Drosophila melanogaster: one gene and its partners. The protein of the gene in region 3 interacts with the protein of the main gene of each other region in a pairwise test. Each region holds a gene or a part of one and is shown on either strand. Other genes may lie near its edges.

Region 1 (4,726 bases), on a different chromosome or scaffold from region 3:
ATATCGCGTGCTTCTGCCGCTGCTCTTTAATCCCTTCTCGGCCAACGCTCACTTTTACATTGTCTACAATGAGTGCCTGAGTCGCGAGGAAATGGGCAAATTGGTGAAGCTCTGCCAGATGGGCATACAGTTCCAGCGGAATGCGGACGACTACGGCAAAATGTTGAGCATTATACCGTGGATTCGGCACATTTGGCCCGAATGGAGTGGCTACAACAAGCTAAACGAGTCCAACCTATTCGTGCGGCAGTTCTTTGCCGACTTTGTGGATAAGTATTTGGACAGCTACGAAGAGGGTGTGGAGCGCAACTTCATGGATGTCTACATAGCTGAAATGCGCCGAGGTCCGGGCTACGGTTTCAATCGGGATCAATTGATCATGGGCCTGGTGGACTTCTCCTTTCCGGCCTTCACTGCCATCGGAGTGCAGCTATCGCTACTCGTCCAGTATCTCATGCTATATCCGGCAGTTCTGCGGCGGGTTCAGAACGAGATCGACGAGGTGGTGGGATGCGGACGATTGCCCAACCTGGAGGATCGCAAGAACTTGCCCTTCACGGAGGCCACCATTCGCGAAGGTCTGCGCATCGAGACGCTGGTTCCCTCGGATGTCCCGCACAAGGCGCTGGAGGACACCGAATTGCTGGGCTACCGGATACCCAAGGTTAGAAAAGTTTCCTATCTATTTAATTTTAAAAACCAAACTATTTTCCCCTATATACCCGTACAGGACACCATTGTCGTGCCCAGCCTGTATGCCTTCCACTCGGACGCCCGTATTTGGTCGGATCCGGAGCAGTTCCGGCCGGAGAGATTCCTGGACGCGGATGGCAAGCTCTGCCTGAAACTGGATGTCTCGCTGCCCTTTGGAGCGGGAAAACGGCTCTGTGCCGGCGAGACATTTGCGCGCAACATGCTCTTCCTGGTGACAGCGACCATGTGCCAGCACTTTGACTTCGTCCTGGGCCCCAATGATCGGTTGCCCGATCTCTCCCAGAACCTCAATGGACTGATTATTTCGCCACCAGATTTCTGGCTGCAACTACAGGATCGGCATTGAAAGTAGCCAAGATATTAGAGTTATCTATTTTTAAGACAAAGTAATTTTACTGATTACGTTAGCTAGTTTGCTTGGATATTTTTTGAGGAATTTTATTCCGTCACATTTCAAAAATATTCTAGAATTGCCCAATACTATTATGTGATGCACCACAACGAACTATTTATTTTAACATTGTCGTTTACTCATATCGTGTGGTATCAAAGTTCGCGAACGGAACTTGTTGAGAAGATGCGATTGGAATGAGATGGGTTTCTTAGAAATCCTCATTATCGCTGTATACAATGCAATCAGAATCTGAGCTGGTGGATGAAAAACTCAATGAGCGAACCAGCGAGACCATCGAAGAATGTATTGAGGGATTGGGGGACTGGATAGCATTGTACTCGGATTCTGAATCCGGATCGTATCCTTCCTCATCGTCCATTTCCTCTTGCGGGTTCACGAATGAGTTGTCCAAAGGATCCACCTCGTTGGCGGCTTCCATCGTTGCACCCTGAGTCTCATTGCGCAACTCGATCACTTCTTGGCGAATCTGGTTCTGCTCCTCCGCAATGGTGGCCACCAGTTGTTCGAGACTGCAGATCTTGGCCTCATATTCGGTCAGTTTCTTCTTCAGCTGACAGTTTTCGGCCCGACAGTTGGCCAATTCCAAGCAGGCGCACATGGCGATCTTGACGTCATCCGAGGTTGCGGACCTGGTACTGTATGCAAACCACATTGTTACCACAAGGAACACATACGCCGGATATCGAAAGCGATCTCTTGGCCGAAACTTACATGTTTAAGCCACTGGAGTTCTTATTATGAACCGGGCAATTGAGGGACATTTTGAGACTTGAAATTTATAGGCAGTTCAGTTTAGCAATTGTCTTACGACAAAATCAACTTTGACCTATTTGTACTCGGAAAGTTCACCCAGAAATATTTGACACTGTTTTACTGTTCTCTTCGATTCGAATGCAAATATGAGCTTCTGAAATACAGAAATTCAAGGTCCCTAGATTTTAATCTCCATTTTAAATGGGTCGCAAATCGAATATAAATCAAAAGATACAGTCAAATTACTGCAGATTGTTTTACTAGCCGAGCTGATAACAAAAATAAAATAGCAAACTGCAAGATAATGTGCAAACACTTTGACCAAAATGCCCTTATCAATATTAAGACAATTGAGTGGCAACAAAAAAAATAGAAAATAGAGTTGAAAACAAGGTGATAATTGTTTGGTTACGAAAACGACAACTTGTTCGCTATGAACCCAGTGTTTAAAATTCACTATCAAAACAAGTGAAGTTGACATACACATGAAAATATATCTTACTTAAAAGTAACTTTTATAAATAATAAAATAAATGTTAATATTATTTAAACTACTGGCACTTACGCCTTTTGGTGACTTCATCAGCATGCATTCACGACTCGAGCGGTTGGAGCTGCTTTTCCGGGGACACCTATTGACGCTCCTTGGCTTGCAGGCCGGAGTCGTGGGCTTTCGGGAACACTTGGGCACTATTTTCTTGCGGCCGCATCCCATATGTTTGAGTTTCTCCGATTGACGCCGATGACGCGAAGTGGAGCTTTTGCTGAGACACCGTTTCTGGTACTGCAGGGTATTAACGAAGGGCAGAAGATAAAGTTCGCCGGTCAGGGGGAAAGTGTGTAATCCCTAGGAACTTACTTTCGATCGATACTGATTCTTTTCTCGCGAACTCAATGCATTCCAGTACCCCGCTCCCTGACGCAGTGACTCCTCCATTTGGAGGTGCGGGGATTTAAGATGTATAGCCACCGCGTAACTTAAAAAGCCGTTTGGATACGGTGCCATCTCTACTTATACTTTTCAACTAACGTACTGAAATTTAGGATGCTAAACTAAGAATTACGTACAAAACATTCGAGCTTGAAAAATTGAAAGGTACAAATTTGAGTTGAGTTGCTGTTGCTAACTGATAGAAGTGAAATCTCAAAACTACTTGTTTAATAATAATTGCCAGTTTCTGGATTTGATACACAACTCTTCGTTGGCCTTAGTTTATTATGATGTATATATTACAATTTGGTTAAAAACTGTTCGCTTAGCCTAGCAACAAGCGGTTTAACTTCAAAACTTACAGATAATTTGTCATTACACTTAGCCGTATTAGATAAGCGAGAGTCGTTCCGTTCCGAGGACCCTTTCTCCAAATTTATATTGCTTCGACTCCTAAATATCAACTTACGAACTAATTGATTTATATTCACGTTGCGCATGGACCTGCATCCATGCCAGTAACTTGGCTAATACTGGCCACTCCCGCCGATCCCCAAATCACCCCGATCCCCCCAAGGTCCTTGGCCAACTCCTCCCTCGATTATCCTCGCCATTCCCCAAACACGCAGGTGAAAGGATTTAGGTTTTGGTTTGGTTCTAGTAGTAGGCCTGCTTTATGGCCGCACTGGTGATAAGGAAAGCGGAGCCAATCAGCATGAAGGTGATGATTTTGAGAGCACTTGGTCTACCGGAAGAATCTGCGAAAAGCGTGACATTCATAGATCATCCTTACTCAATTGGTTTTGCAAGGACACTTACTTTTCTTATTGGGCATCACGCGAATGCATTGATTCTGATTGGCGTTCGCCGAGTAGCCCAGCTTGCACTGGCACACGGAGTTGCGGCACTCGACATTCTCGGGATCCTTTTCTACATAGCACTCGGTGGCCTTGGTGCACGACTCTCCCAGCTCTGCAAGATTGCAACATATTAGAATTATTACAAATAATTAAAGAAAGCTTAGCGACTCAATTACCTCGCTTCGTCTCACAGACTCCGTTCTTAGCATGCTGCTCATCGTTGCATCCACACTTGCCCTCCGAATTGCAGCTCGCCAGGAGCGGCTTGCACTGCTCATCCTCGACGCACTCGTCCTCCAGCTCCTCGGCTATAATGAAATGTAATGTGGGGCAGGGCATAATTTTGCTGCTTTGCATTTCAGCTTCTGAGTACTAACCCTCTTTTAGGCACTCATCCTTAAAGTGCACGTATCCCTTTCGGCACTGGCAGGTGCGCGACTGATCCTCCTCGTCCTTCTCCTGGCATTCGGTGTTCTCAGGTATGCAGTCATCCTCCACCGAGCAGTCGGCACCGATGCCACGCATACACTGATCGTCCTTCTCAAAGTAGTTGTCCGCACAAACGCACACGCGATTGGAGCAGACGGAGTGATCCACAGGACAGCCATCGTTCGACTCACACTCGGCTCCCAGGCCACGTTTGTATTCGCAGAGCTGCTTGATGGCATCGTAGAGAGCGTACTCCTCGCAGGTGCACCTCCTCGGAATCTCCGGGTGGCAATAGGAGGCGCCAAATGGACTGCATTGGCTGTTCGAGGTGCAGGATAAGTGGTATTGAATGGCTGTTTTGATGGAAAAGGATATATCTTAAGTGCGATTCAGCAGCTAGCGTTGGAACCACCTACGTTTTCTGCAATTGCGCAGATCCCGCTCGTAGAAATAATTCTTTTGGCAATTGCAAGTTTTGGTCAACTGATCGAACTCGTACTCGCACTCATCCGTGCTCTCCGCAATTTCCCCCAGTTCTAAAGAATTTTCATTTCAGTTAATTTCATTAATAGAAGAATTAAATTGGGGGAAACCCAGTTTACTCACCGGCAAAACATTTTCCAT
Region 2 (6,440 bases), on a different chromosome or scaffold from region 3:
AATTCAAACAGAATTCAATGCCATTGCCAATGACAAACGATGAGAAAGTAGGTACGCGTAGGTCAAGAAAGCGCCAGCGCGTAGACACAACCTCGTCCATTTCGTACGGATATTTGGCAAGAACATTTACGGCAAAGGAAACAATCACTAGCCAGTCAGGCAGTTGGTGGGAGGAGGCGTACATGGACACGCACATGGTGATGAAGGTCAAGGCTCCAGAGATTATAGTCAGCTCCGAGTGTGGCAGCCAGGCGTCTGTGACCAACGGGTAGACAATCAGGTTGCAAATGAAGGCACAAAAGAAGTACAGGTACGGCTTCATATTGTTGCGTAAAAAGCGATGCTCCGCAATGTCCGCCTCGATGTTCTGATCCCCGTAGCTCAGGAACAGTCCCGACCAGATGCGAAAGTCCACGAACTGTTGTTTGGTTTTCAGCATCTTACACGTGGCCCAGATCATGATGCCCAGACTGAGATAATAGCTGACCAGGGGCAGCATATGCCGGCTGCTCCACCAAGAGATTGCAACGAGCACGCTGCAGCGCACGCTCAGAGGGATGACGTTGGGTATGGACACAATCAAGTTAAGCAGCCGGTGGTAGAACAGGGTGAAGAAGATAAGCGGGTGGAAGATCATGCGGTAGAAGCAGGGTACATGGTCCAAGCTCCTAGGATCCGGGACGGATAATGTGAGAGCATCATTAACGCTGGGCATTTGTCCGGCACTGTAATTGGAAGCTGCCGAAACGAGGTGAGCTTCGGTGATGAGGCGGCGTCGCTCCACATTGGCTAGGTCAATGGTGGGCACATCTTCGAGCGGTTCGCACTCCGGCTCCTGCTCGCCCTCGCTGCTCGACGAGGAGCGGTCATCATCGCGTCGACGCCGCTTGCGTTGCAGATTGTAGATGCGCCGCATTTTGCGCTCCAGCTGCTTGGGCGTTATATGCTCGTTTCCATTTGATAGGCAGGCAAAAAGCTCCCGGGCTGCTTTTCTGGCAGCCCGCTCACCAGGCGTCATAGCCAGGCAGCGACGCACTTCGTCCGTATTCTCTGCCGTAATACCGCTGCCATCGTTGTAGCACTGGCGTAGCAGCTTGACTGCATCCTCGTGTCCATTGTGTGCTGCACTCACCAGCCAGTTGACGGCCTTCTGGCTCTGATTGCCTTTGGCAAGATTGGGCTCTACTGCGGACATAGCAATCTTCATTATCTTGTAATTCTCGAGCAAATCCTTACACTCACCTATGGAATTATCGAGTAACTCTTTGGCCAGATCGTATTGCATCTGGGGGCATCCCTCCTCGGCGATGTGATGCTTAAGTTTGTTCAAGGAGGCACGATCTGTAAGGGAAAACATCTTCACTTTATGAACGTGTATCAATCAAAGCTCAGAGATTTACCTTCCAGATTCCAACGCCTGCGCTTGGTGACACCTGTCGGCTCATTTTGCGTCCAGGTGGCCATCTATGTCGAGTTTTTCGCTTTGTTTACGAAAATCTATGAAATAATTCTAGTCTTGACTTAGCGATGGCATCGTGTAGAACTTGTCTTAGAGATGGACTCACAAATATTAGTTAATATAATTATTAATTTAAAAATTTGTTTACCAAAGTTTAATTATTCATCGTATATAGTATATAAAATACATTTATGTAGTATAAATAATTTCCTATATTTAAATTTGTGTTCTTTGTGTATAATGTCGTGACTTCTAATCGATAAATAACTCAAATGTACTCAGCTGTGATTTCGATATTGCGACATCAAAAATCGATTCACACACATGCCGGCTAGATTGTTTGCTGTTGCAAAAGTAGTTGTTTATTTTTGATTTATAGGCATTTCCCAAATAAGAGCCAGCACAAAAATGGAGAGAAATCTGCAGAAGCAATTATACGGCATATCGCGCGAATCTTCACCAGGTGCACGAAGGTACAGCATGCCAGCAGCCTCGGCAGACAGCACGCGTAAATCAATTTTTGGCGGCAGCGCCAGTTGCGCCCAGATGTCGGGGAGCCTCAAAAGGACTGCCCTGACCAACAGGTATGTGCTAACTTATTCTCCTGGAATTTCCCACTCATCAAACAATCCTTTTCAGCCGGCTCAGCTTGTCGGTGCGTTCCACTCAGTCCATTGCCGGCATCCGATCCGATTACAATTCGGTAGAGAGCTTCGGTTGTCCACTGCCGGTGGTGGTCAATGAGGCACTAACCTTCGCAGGTCCAGGAGCGGGCACAGTAACAGCCAAAGTGACGCAAAACGGTTGGGCTTGGGTAATATATCAGCAACTCTCATTGTATCTGGTTCAGCAATCAGTACGATTACCTTTTCAGGTTGTCCAAGGCAGACGCCTCTTGATTTGGCAGTATAAGGACACGGCCAAGTCGGGCTCGCCACCTCGTGTGGGCAAACTGGCAAGACGTGGTGGTGGTCTGGCCCAGTGCCGTGAATTGACTTTACCTTACAGTGACCTGGGTCACAAGAGTGATTTAATCAGTGTTTTCCAGACGGAGGGTCAGCAAATGGCCTCCTGCATAGCGGTATCAGCCACGGGAGAAGTTCGGTACTGGTCATCGATTGCGCACGATGGGAACTCCGTGGATCTTTCCATCTTAACTGGCCAAGAGTTTGTCCAGCTGCTCAGTCTACCAACGCAGCAGGGCTACCTAGCCGTTACAACCACCTGCAATCTGGTATTCCTGCGAGTCGGACTGACCAACGGACGTTACACACTTCACCATAAGACTATCAAGCCTGCCACTAGCTTCCTTGGTGGTTTTGGCAAAAAGTTTGCCTCCATTTTGATTGGAATGAACACGGGTGCAGACAAGGATCAAGTAAGTATCTTCGTCCAGCATGGGACAAAAATCTCATGAAGTGTTTTTTAGACTTTGGTCGGCATGTGCTGCGAGAGCAATTTAGAAAGTGGAGAAACCATTGTGGCCGTGCTCTCTGATCGTGCAATCCAGCGCTGGAGTCTGTCCAACAATGGCAACACCGAAAACCTTCTGTACGAGGATGCGGATATGTTGCGCAGGATACGCGAAGAGTTTATAACGAACTTTTGGAAGTTCCGACTCCCAGCGGATAGTTTGGAGATCGATCTCCATCTGTTGGACTTTCACGTGGTTAAGAACAAAGCTTATATACTGGCTGGAGCTGTGAATGCTGCTCACGCTCCACAAATGTGCTACGCTCTGGGTAAGAAGTATGTGACAGCAAATCTTGATATGGTATATAATGTTAAGTATTTTAGTGACTGGCACTGCTCAAGCTGAAAGAATGCTTCTGGAATCGTTCACGCCGCTCAATATGAACAAATTCTTTAGTGCCAAGACTGAGGAGGATTGCCTCAGCGTGCGTTTTGTAGTAGGCAGCAGCCACATCTATTTGTATACTTCTAAAGTTGTGTATCCTCTGCACTTGACCAACTCGGTGCCGACAGCAGAGCTAGAGGCGGAAAAGATCGAGTTCCATCAGCACGATGATCGCATTTTGAGTGCCGTCATCTGCAGCCAATTGCCATTGTTCTTTAGTCGCACACATGGCCTAGTTTCTATTACACCGGGCGATTTTGATGGTACTGAAATGATGAACATGAGCTCCTGCAACACGCCAGATTTATATGCTCCCAATTCGTGTAATGCTAGTTTCGCAGTTGCCGATCATTCTGCTTTGACTAACAGTACTAATAATCTTCACCTTTTCGAACTGGATCCGGATGAAATGTACAACGAACTAAGCGATGAAGTTGGTCAACTAAAGGCAGCGTTCCTATATCACATGAAACGCAACAGCAATATGGTCAAGACGATCGTCGATGAGCTGCTTCGTAATGTCACTGCAGCCGATCCAAGTGGTGCACCCATGGATGCTTACAAGTTGGATCGAATTGTTATTACCATCGCCGAAGACTTGGCGGAGGATATACCAATAGCCGATCCCCGATGGGAGGAGGCACTTGCAGATCAGGAAATGAATAGGCATGCCATCGGCAGCTCTCGTTCAATGCAGATTATCAACCAACTAAGGGACAAGATCATTGCTTTCCAGCACTTCATAACGTTTCTGCATTCCAGTTTAGTTTGGGACAAGGTATAAGGACAAAATATTTATTTGTTTATTTATTTGATTTTGTTAACAAAATCAATACTTTTCGTTCCAGTTAAATGTCATACCTTGCGGAAGCCATTCGCTGAAACCCACCGGCTGTATTCTAGCCGATATCAGCGAGAAGATAGTGGCTGCTATGGCTCTGCGATCCATTCAGACCAAACTGCCCAAGCTGATTGAAGAGGCTATCGATGCCACCGTAGCGTTATGGCATGAGGAGCCTCAGGGCAGCCTAACTTACCAGGATATATTTTACGTAAAGCTGTCTAGGTTTCAAAACGTGTTCGAGGCCCTGGCGGATATTGCTGACGATCGAATCGCTGCTCAGAATCAGACCACCATATCAGTGGCCCACTTTGTCAACGAGATAAACTCCATTGTCCTAGACGTTTTGGGACAAGTGTTCAAGTATCGAAAGCAGCACGCAAGCAGCTTTAGACTGAGCCACGAAAAACTACCTTCCTACGAGAATCTACCTTGGACTGCGATGGCTGGCAGTGCGGGAGTTCGTGACACGCTGACTCGCCTCATTGACATTAGCGTTCGCTATGGCAGCCACTGCGTTAGCGAGACTGAGCTAAAGCAGCAATTGTACCAACAGATATTCGAACTAATTGATTTGGTTTTGGACGGACGGAAGACTTACTTAAAAAGCGTGCGCGACACGGAAAAGTTCAATGTTCTGCAGCAGCAGTTTGAGGCTCAGCGAAGGGAACTCATCTCCGTGCTAAGTAAGTTGTGTATTCTATTCATAATTTAAAATTCTTAAATATTTCTTATGTCTTTTTTTTTATTTTGTAGTCAAAGATCGCCAATACGAGTACGCCGCAAAGATCGCCGAGAAGTACCTCGATTTTCAGAGCCTGGTGCTTATCTGCGATGAGACGCAGGACAAGGAGCGACTGGAAGATTACACCCGCAAGTACGAGGAATATGACTTCTCACAGTTTGCCATCAATTGGCATCTGCGCCAGAACCGGCACGGCGAGGTATTCGAACGCTTCAAGGGCAACCAGACGGCTTTGGCTCAGTTCATGCGTGACCATCCGTCCCTTGGGTGGATCCAGCTAATATTCAACGGCGACTTCGAGCGGGCGGCCAAGGTGCTGTACGAGTTGGCCCAATGCGAAACGGAGTTTGTGGCGCGCAAGAAGTCTATGCTGTCGCTGGCCAAATTGGCCGCCTTCGCGGCAGCCGAATCCGATTTAACTGCCCAAGTTGAAAAGATCAACGCAGATCTTACGCTGGTCGAATATCAATCGCAACTGGGCCATGACGTACTGGAAAGCTTTGGCTTCGATCCAGCAGAACAGAAGGTGCTCAAGGCAGAGGAGATTATCAGCGTAAGATTTCACAAATTAATATACTTAATTCACTTATAAATATTACCGTCTTATTATCATTAGCTTTACATCGCCGAGGAAAATGAAACTGCCAGCGAAACGGAATTCCGTAAAGCTTTGGAACTTCTGAGCTACGTGGAACAGCCGTACGACATGCGGCACAAGATCTGGTGTGCAGCTATAAAACGCGATAACTGGACGGACTACGATCCCAACAATGCGGTGCATTACATGCAGAAGTTGCTCTTTTACAAGATCATCGAAATCTCGCAGCTGATGGGCAACGATTCCGAGAACGTTTTGCCACCCATGGAAGACTTTCTGGAGAGCGTGGAGCTCGGCGATTTGCCGCAGCAGAAACCGTTTCAGTATCTGTTGAAACTGACCTATGAGTATGTGGCCGACATGTTCAAACAGCCAGACGACATGGAACTCTAATCAAGCACCTCACATGTCTTTCTATTAAAGTTTACGTTAAGAATTTAAAATGATGGCTGGTGTTCTTGGACGGTGGACAGTTGCCTGCCTTGTTGTTGCGTCGCTCAAACGCAGGCATTATAAAATATTATAAACTAAGTTGCTTTGTCACAGCCGGTCTCTGCCGGCGAAAGTATCTGAAGTGTGGCGAACGGAGAGTCGGAAGCCCACCAAGTGTGTTCGGGGCAACTCTAGAGTCGGCCTGACTGGCAGCTGTGCTGTTTGCATTTGTCGCCGGTGCGCATCAGTTTAACTTTGATTATGACGGACGAAACAACGCCGCTTACCGATGCCGTTCCCAGTGGCTCCGGATATGTTGTCCTGCCGCCGTATCAGGGACCGGAGCGTGTCTTTCCGGGTGGTGTTTCTCCGCGTGCGCGACGCAACAAGATGCGACAGTTCCAGTGCTGCATGGGCATCACCTTTATGTGAGTGTGAAACGAAGAGTTGGAACTGCGGCAAAAGAACACCTATCCTTAGAAACTATTGCTATAGGCTCTAAATTGT
Region 3 (4,200 bases):
GAACAGTTCTTCTTTTTATGGCCTGGCATTTAAGCTATTAACTTTAATTAATATCCAAGAATGGGGCTCTGTAGTGGGGAAATCTAATTAAAATACATAAGTGGTTAATGCCGGGTAGGTAATAACCCATGGGATGTAAGCGTATTATTACTCCAATCAGTAAGAAAATGTAAAAATGATACGATTTGGAACATATGTACATTCATACAATAAAGGATTCGAAGGATGTAAAAATTATTTGAATAAAATGTAATGCAACTATTTTGAATTTCAAAGGTCGATAGATGAAAACATAAACCAAAAAACATTAAAAACATTTAATAAATTCTAATAGTCAATATTTGGTTTATTGAAAACGAGGCTGTAACCTTTTATTATATTTGACCAATTTCTTAAGACAAATACATATGTATGTATGTAAGATTTAGCTGCACATTTGCTTGGTACAACTTGATAAATATTCAGCTTATATACACATTGTTTAGAATTCAGAATTACTTCGTAATAACCAAATCAAATGACAATTTGTTTACAATTTGTTGTTACAGTAGCGATTGAATAACCATATAATACATGGGCATTGCTATAGAACTCAATCTCTGGTTGTTATATAATTCGAGTTTTTATTTATGGCCCCATTTTCTTGTCACCACTCCTCCTCCACTGAAGTAGAGTACTCTTGGTGCCCAGGGCTTGGACAATCCAACGCCAACGCAGTGGAAGTTGTCTATTCAAAAAGGTGGCCACATAATGTGCGAGCATGCTCGTCCGGCGGATTTCTTCCCCTTGGTTAGGTAAATGGGAGCAAGTACCCAGTGTGTATGTACATGGGGAATGTATCGTATGTACAAGGGGGCATCTCGTACGCAGCAATCTCTGAAGGTTTTTGCTCTTTTCCGACTGCAGCTGGCAGATACACCATATCAATACAAACATACTATATAATATAATATATGGCCATACAGAATTGTATCCCGCAGCTGAGTTCGGGGCCCCAGTAAATTTTTAGCAAAGTCTCCACTGTCTGGCCCCCGTCTGGATGTTGTTGGTGTTGTTGTTGTTTTTTGCATTTTGGAGCTTTTCAACCGGTTGCCATCGCTTGCACTTGGCTATGTAACCACATACGAATCCAGCAATATCATCATCATCTGTGTGGCAGGGTATGTATGTATGTATGTAGATACAAATGTATATGGAGATACCATATGTATGGGTTGCCCCAGACGCTGTCACTGCGCATGTTTACGCGACGCCGGCTTGCCAATCCTCCAGCTCTGGCAACAGCGGATTTGTAGCTTCCAGGCGGCCCTGCCAGCCAGCCAGCCAGCCAGCTGTTGTTGTAGTTGTTTATCGCCGGCGACTCGAATCCGCATCGGCAACCGGCACGAGACTCAGACTCTCAGCTGTTCGCTCAATGCCGGCAGTGGGAATTCAGCTGCAACACGACCACTTTACATATACCCCGTCTATATGGATATTTGTATATATGAGTACATATATGTATATCGCCGGTACAAGGAAGATGGCATCTCTTGGGGGGGATATTCGTGCATATATGCTTCGATTTCAAGCCGGTTTGCCTCTTTTACGTATCTTTTTTATTTGGTTTTGCAACGTTGCAGTTTGGTTTGTCTGGTTTCTTGCCGACTACGAGTACGAGTACTTTCTTTGTTCTCTGGCTATCTGCGGTAGAGGAAAAGTATCTCTTATTTCGGTGTATATAGCAGAAAATGGCATAGTACATGGCTTGACTGACTGTTTTAATGGGTAGCCCTTCCCCTTGGTGAGTTCTCTGGAGGAGTTGCATAGTTTTTCGCCTGGGAGCTGGCATGGAAGCCGACTGGAAGTGACCAGGTTTTCCATTCAGCGCTGCACAGCCGCTTAAAAGCGTCGACATTCAGCCATAAGGGCTCAAACGCAGTCCAGTTGGAGGCCAGAACGGATCGCCGCCGGTTCCCAGACGACACCAATCCCCGCAAGACCTAAAAAATAAAAGATATATCTTAGCCAGATAGGAAGAAAGTGAAAATGTCGCTGATACCGTTCATACTAGATTTGGCCGAGGAGCTGCACGATTTCAATCGCAGCCTGGCAATGGATATAGATGATTCGGCCGGATTCGGGTTGTATCCACTGGAGGCCACCTCACAGTTGCCACAGCTGAGTCGTGGGTTGGGGCGTGGGAATGCAATGATGTGGGTGCCCATCAAGGGTCAGTCGGCGGCATCGCAGCATCGCCATCATCCGTACAATCGTGTGGCCGGAGCCAAGACTGCTTGCTGCAATAAGTCGCTGGTGGAGCTGGAAAAGGAATTGGGCGATAAGGGCACGTCCGGGGCAAGCGGCAGCACCAGTGGCCAACCGGCGGCCAGCAAATCCGCCTACTCCGTGGTGAATAGGAACGGCTTCCAGGTGAGCATGAATGTGAAGCAGTTCGCCGCCAACGAACTGACCGTCAAGACCATCGATAACTGCATCGTGGTCGAGGGTCAGCACGACGAGAAGGAGGATGGCCACGGGGTGATCTCGCGCCACTTCATCCGCAAGTACATCCTGCCCAAGGGCTATGATCCCAACGAGGTGCACTCGACCCTCTCCTCGGACGGCATTCTGACGGTGAAGGCGCCGCCACCACTTCCAGTCGTCAAAGGCAGCCTGGAACGACAGGAGCGCATCGTAGACATCCAGCAGATATCGCAGCAGCAGAAGGATAAGGATGCGCAGCCGCCAAAGCCGTCAGAGGTAGAGCAGCAGGCGGCAGCTAGTGCCACCACTTCCACTTTAAATCCGACTGCACCCACACCCACTCCTTCGCTCTCGCTCACTCTCGCCGAGAGCAACGGCAACGGTCAGGAAGAGACAGAGATGGAAATGCCGGCTGTTTCGCCCCCCATTTCCAATGAGGCTGCTGCTGCCGCTGCTGTTGCAGTGGAAGCCCCTTCCACCGCAGGAACCACTTCCAGTGCCAACAATGGCGTTGCAGAACCAGAATCAGAGTCCATGGAAGTGGCGTTGGCCAAAAACGAAGAGACTGCCAATGTGGATGAACCCACACCCAATCCCGTTATAAGCATCGAAGAGGAGCAAAAGGCAGAGGATGCAAATGCCAACGAAGTGCCCGTTGCCTCGAATAACGGCAATGGAGCAGTCGCAGCAGCCGAGGATGTGGAAATGCCGCTGGCCAAGAAACCGGAAATCTCCACGGAAGACAGCAAAGAGGAGCAGGCGGAGAAGGTTGATAAAGTAGAGAAAGTGGAGGAGAAGGGCGGCGAGGAACTGGCAGCCGTAGATGCGGCCATTCTACTGGCCAAAAACCAAGGCGAAAATGGAGCCACTGCAGCCAAAACCGAGGAACTGGCCAAGTGAAGACTGAACTAAAAGAAAGAACATAAATAGTAATTAAGAACAAATAATAATCTGCACGGGTAGGCGTGCGTTTTATTCCATACGTGTTTCTTGTGTTTTCTTTTCTTGCATTTCACACAAAAAAAAAGAAGCGAGAAAGCTGACGGGAAAAGCACTCAATTACTAATAGTGGGAGATTGCTGGCGTTATATGTATGTATGATTTTCTAAAAAACATATGTGACAACAACTACAAGTATTCCAGTAAAACTTAAAGACAGAAACACGAAATAATGTACTTAATAAAGAGGAAAACCAGAATAAAAAAAACTGACGTTTTGTTTTGTTTGCCGTTAGCCGGCTGTTTCTTTTGCGCTCTTTCTAGAAAATTGCAACAACTCTCTAGAAACTTCGGCTCTCTCACTCATACAGGCGCACTAGCTCTGCTTTTGCGCGTACGACAACAACTACATTTAAAATTTCTCGAAACTCATGGCATTTATTGGGAAAGGTTAGTTAGTTTTATTTTTTGTTTTTAGAGCAGCATTCAATTTAGACTTTTATAAAAGAAATTTCTAATTTGATCCCTCGTTTATCAAACGATACAAAGCTATATTCATAATTTTTTCTCTCTGTGCACGTTCTCTCTCTTCTCTTCTCTCTCTCTACTCTTTCCTTTTTCTGTCACTTTCCGGACTCTTCTAGAAAAGCTCCAGCGGGTATAAAAGCAGCGTCGCTTGACGAACAGAGCACAGATCGAATTCAAAAATCGAGCAGTGAACAACTCAAAGCAACTTTGCGCAAAAGCAAAACTTCAAACGAGAAAAAAAAGGATTAAAAACCTTTGCTTACAAGT

What was found. Proteins that work in one complex are often made in the same cells at the same time.
Region 1: the proteins of Hsp67Ba (region 3) and grsm interact in a two-hybrid assay, tested with the Drosophila melanogaster proteins (one large-scale study listed by BioGRID).
Region 2: the proteins of Hsp67Ba (region 3) and Nup133 interact in a two-hybrid assay, tested with the Drosophila melanogaster proteins (one large-scale study listed by BioGRID).

What each region holds. Positions count from the first base shown.
Region 1 is NT_033777.3:12,964,713-12,969,438, forward strand, and holds the start of grsm (granny smith), read right to left. Parts: upstream 3,001-4,726; 5' UTR 2,889-3,000; coding exon 2,742-2,888; intron 2,667-2,741; coding exon 2,448-2,666; intron 2,037-2,447; exon of another isoform or gene 1,891-2,036; coding exon of another isoform or gene 1,841-1,890; intron 1,765-1,840; coding exon of another isoform or gene 1,317-1,764; exon of another isoform or gene 1,226-1,316; intron 1,212-1,225; exon of another isoform or gene 1,061-1,211; coding exon of another isoform or gene 731-1,060; intron 665-730; coding exon of another isoform or gene 1-664. Other genes in the region: Cyp304a1 (cytochrome P450 304a1), read left to right, coding at 1-664, 731-1,060; CG14384 (uncharacterized protein), read right to left, coding at 1,317-1,764, 1,841-1,890; CG7381 (uncharacterized protein), read right to left, coding at 3,471-3,571, 3,633-3,785, 3,850-3,981, 4,051-4,455, 4,519-4,638, 4,709-4,726.
Region 2 is NT_033777.3:22,688,833-22,695,272, forward strand, and holds Nup133 (nucleoporin 133kD), read left to right. Parts: upstream 1-1,774; 5' UTR 1,775-1,867; coding exon 1,868-2,043; intron 2,044-2,098; coding exon 2,099-2,273; intron 2,274-2,333; coding exon 2,334-2,837; intron 2,838-2,888; coding exon 2,889-3,201; intron 3,202-3,256; coding exon 3,257-4,095; intron 4,096-4,165; coding exon 4,166-4,844; intron 4,845-4,914; coding exon 4,915-5,456; intron 5,457-5,519; coding exon 5,520-5,894; 3' UTR 5,895-5,940; downstream 5,941-6,440. Other genes in the region: wfs1 (wolfram syndrome 1), read right to left, coding at 1-1,185, 1,243-1,341, 1,401-1,464; cd (cardinal), read left to right, coding at 6,195-6,361. UniProt on the Drosophila melanogaster protein: Probable component of the nuclear pore complex (NPC). Plays a role in NPC assembly and/or maintenance.
Region 3 is NT_037436.4:9,377,268-9,381,467, reverse strand, and holds Hsp67Ba (heat shock gene 67Ba), read left to right. Parts: upstream 1-1,933; 5' UTR 1,934-2,028; coding exon 2,029-3,366; 3' UTR 3,367-3,666; downstream 3,667-4,200.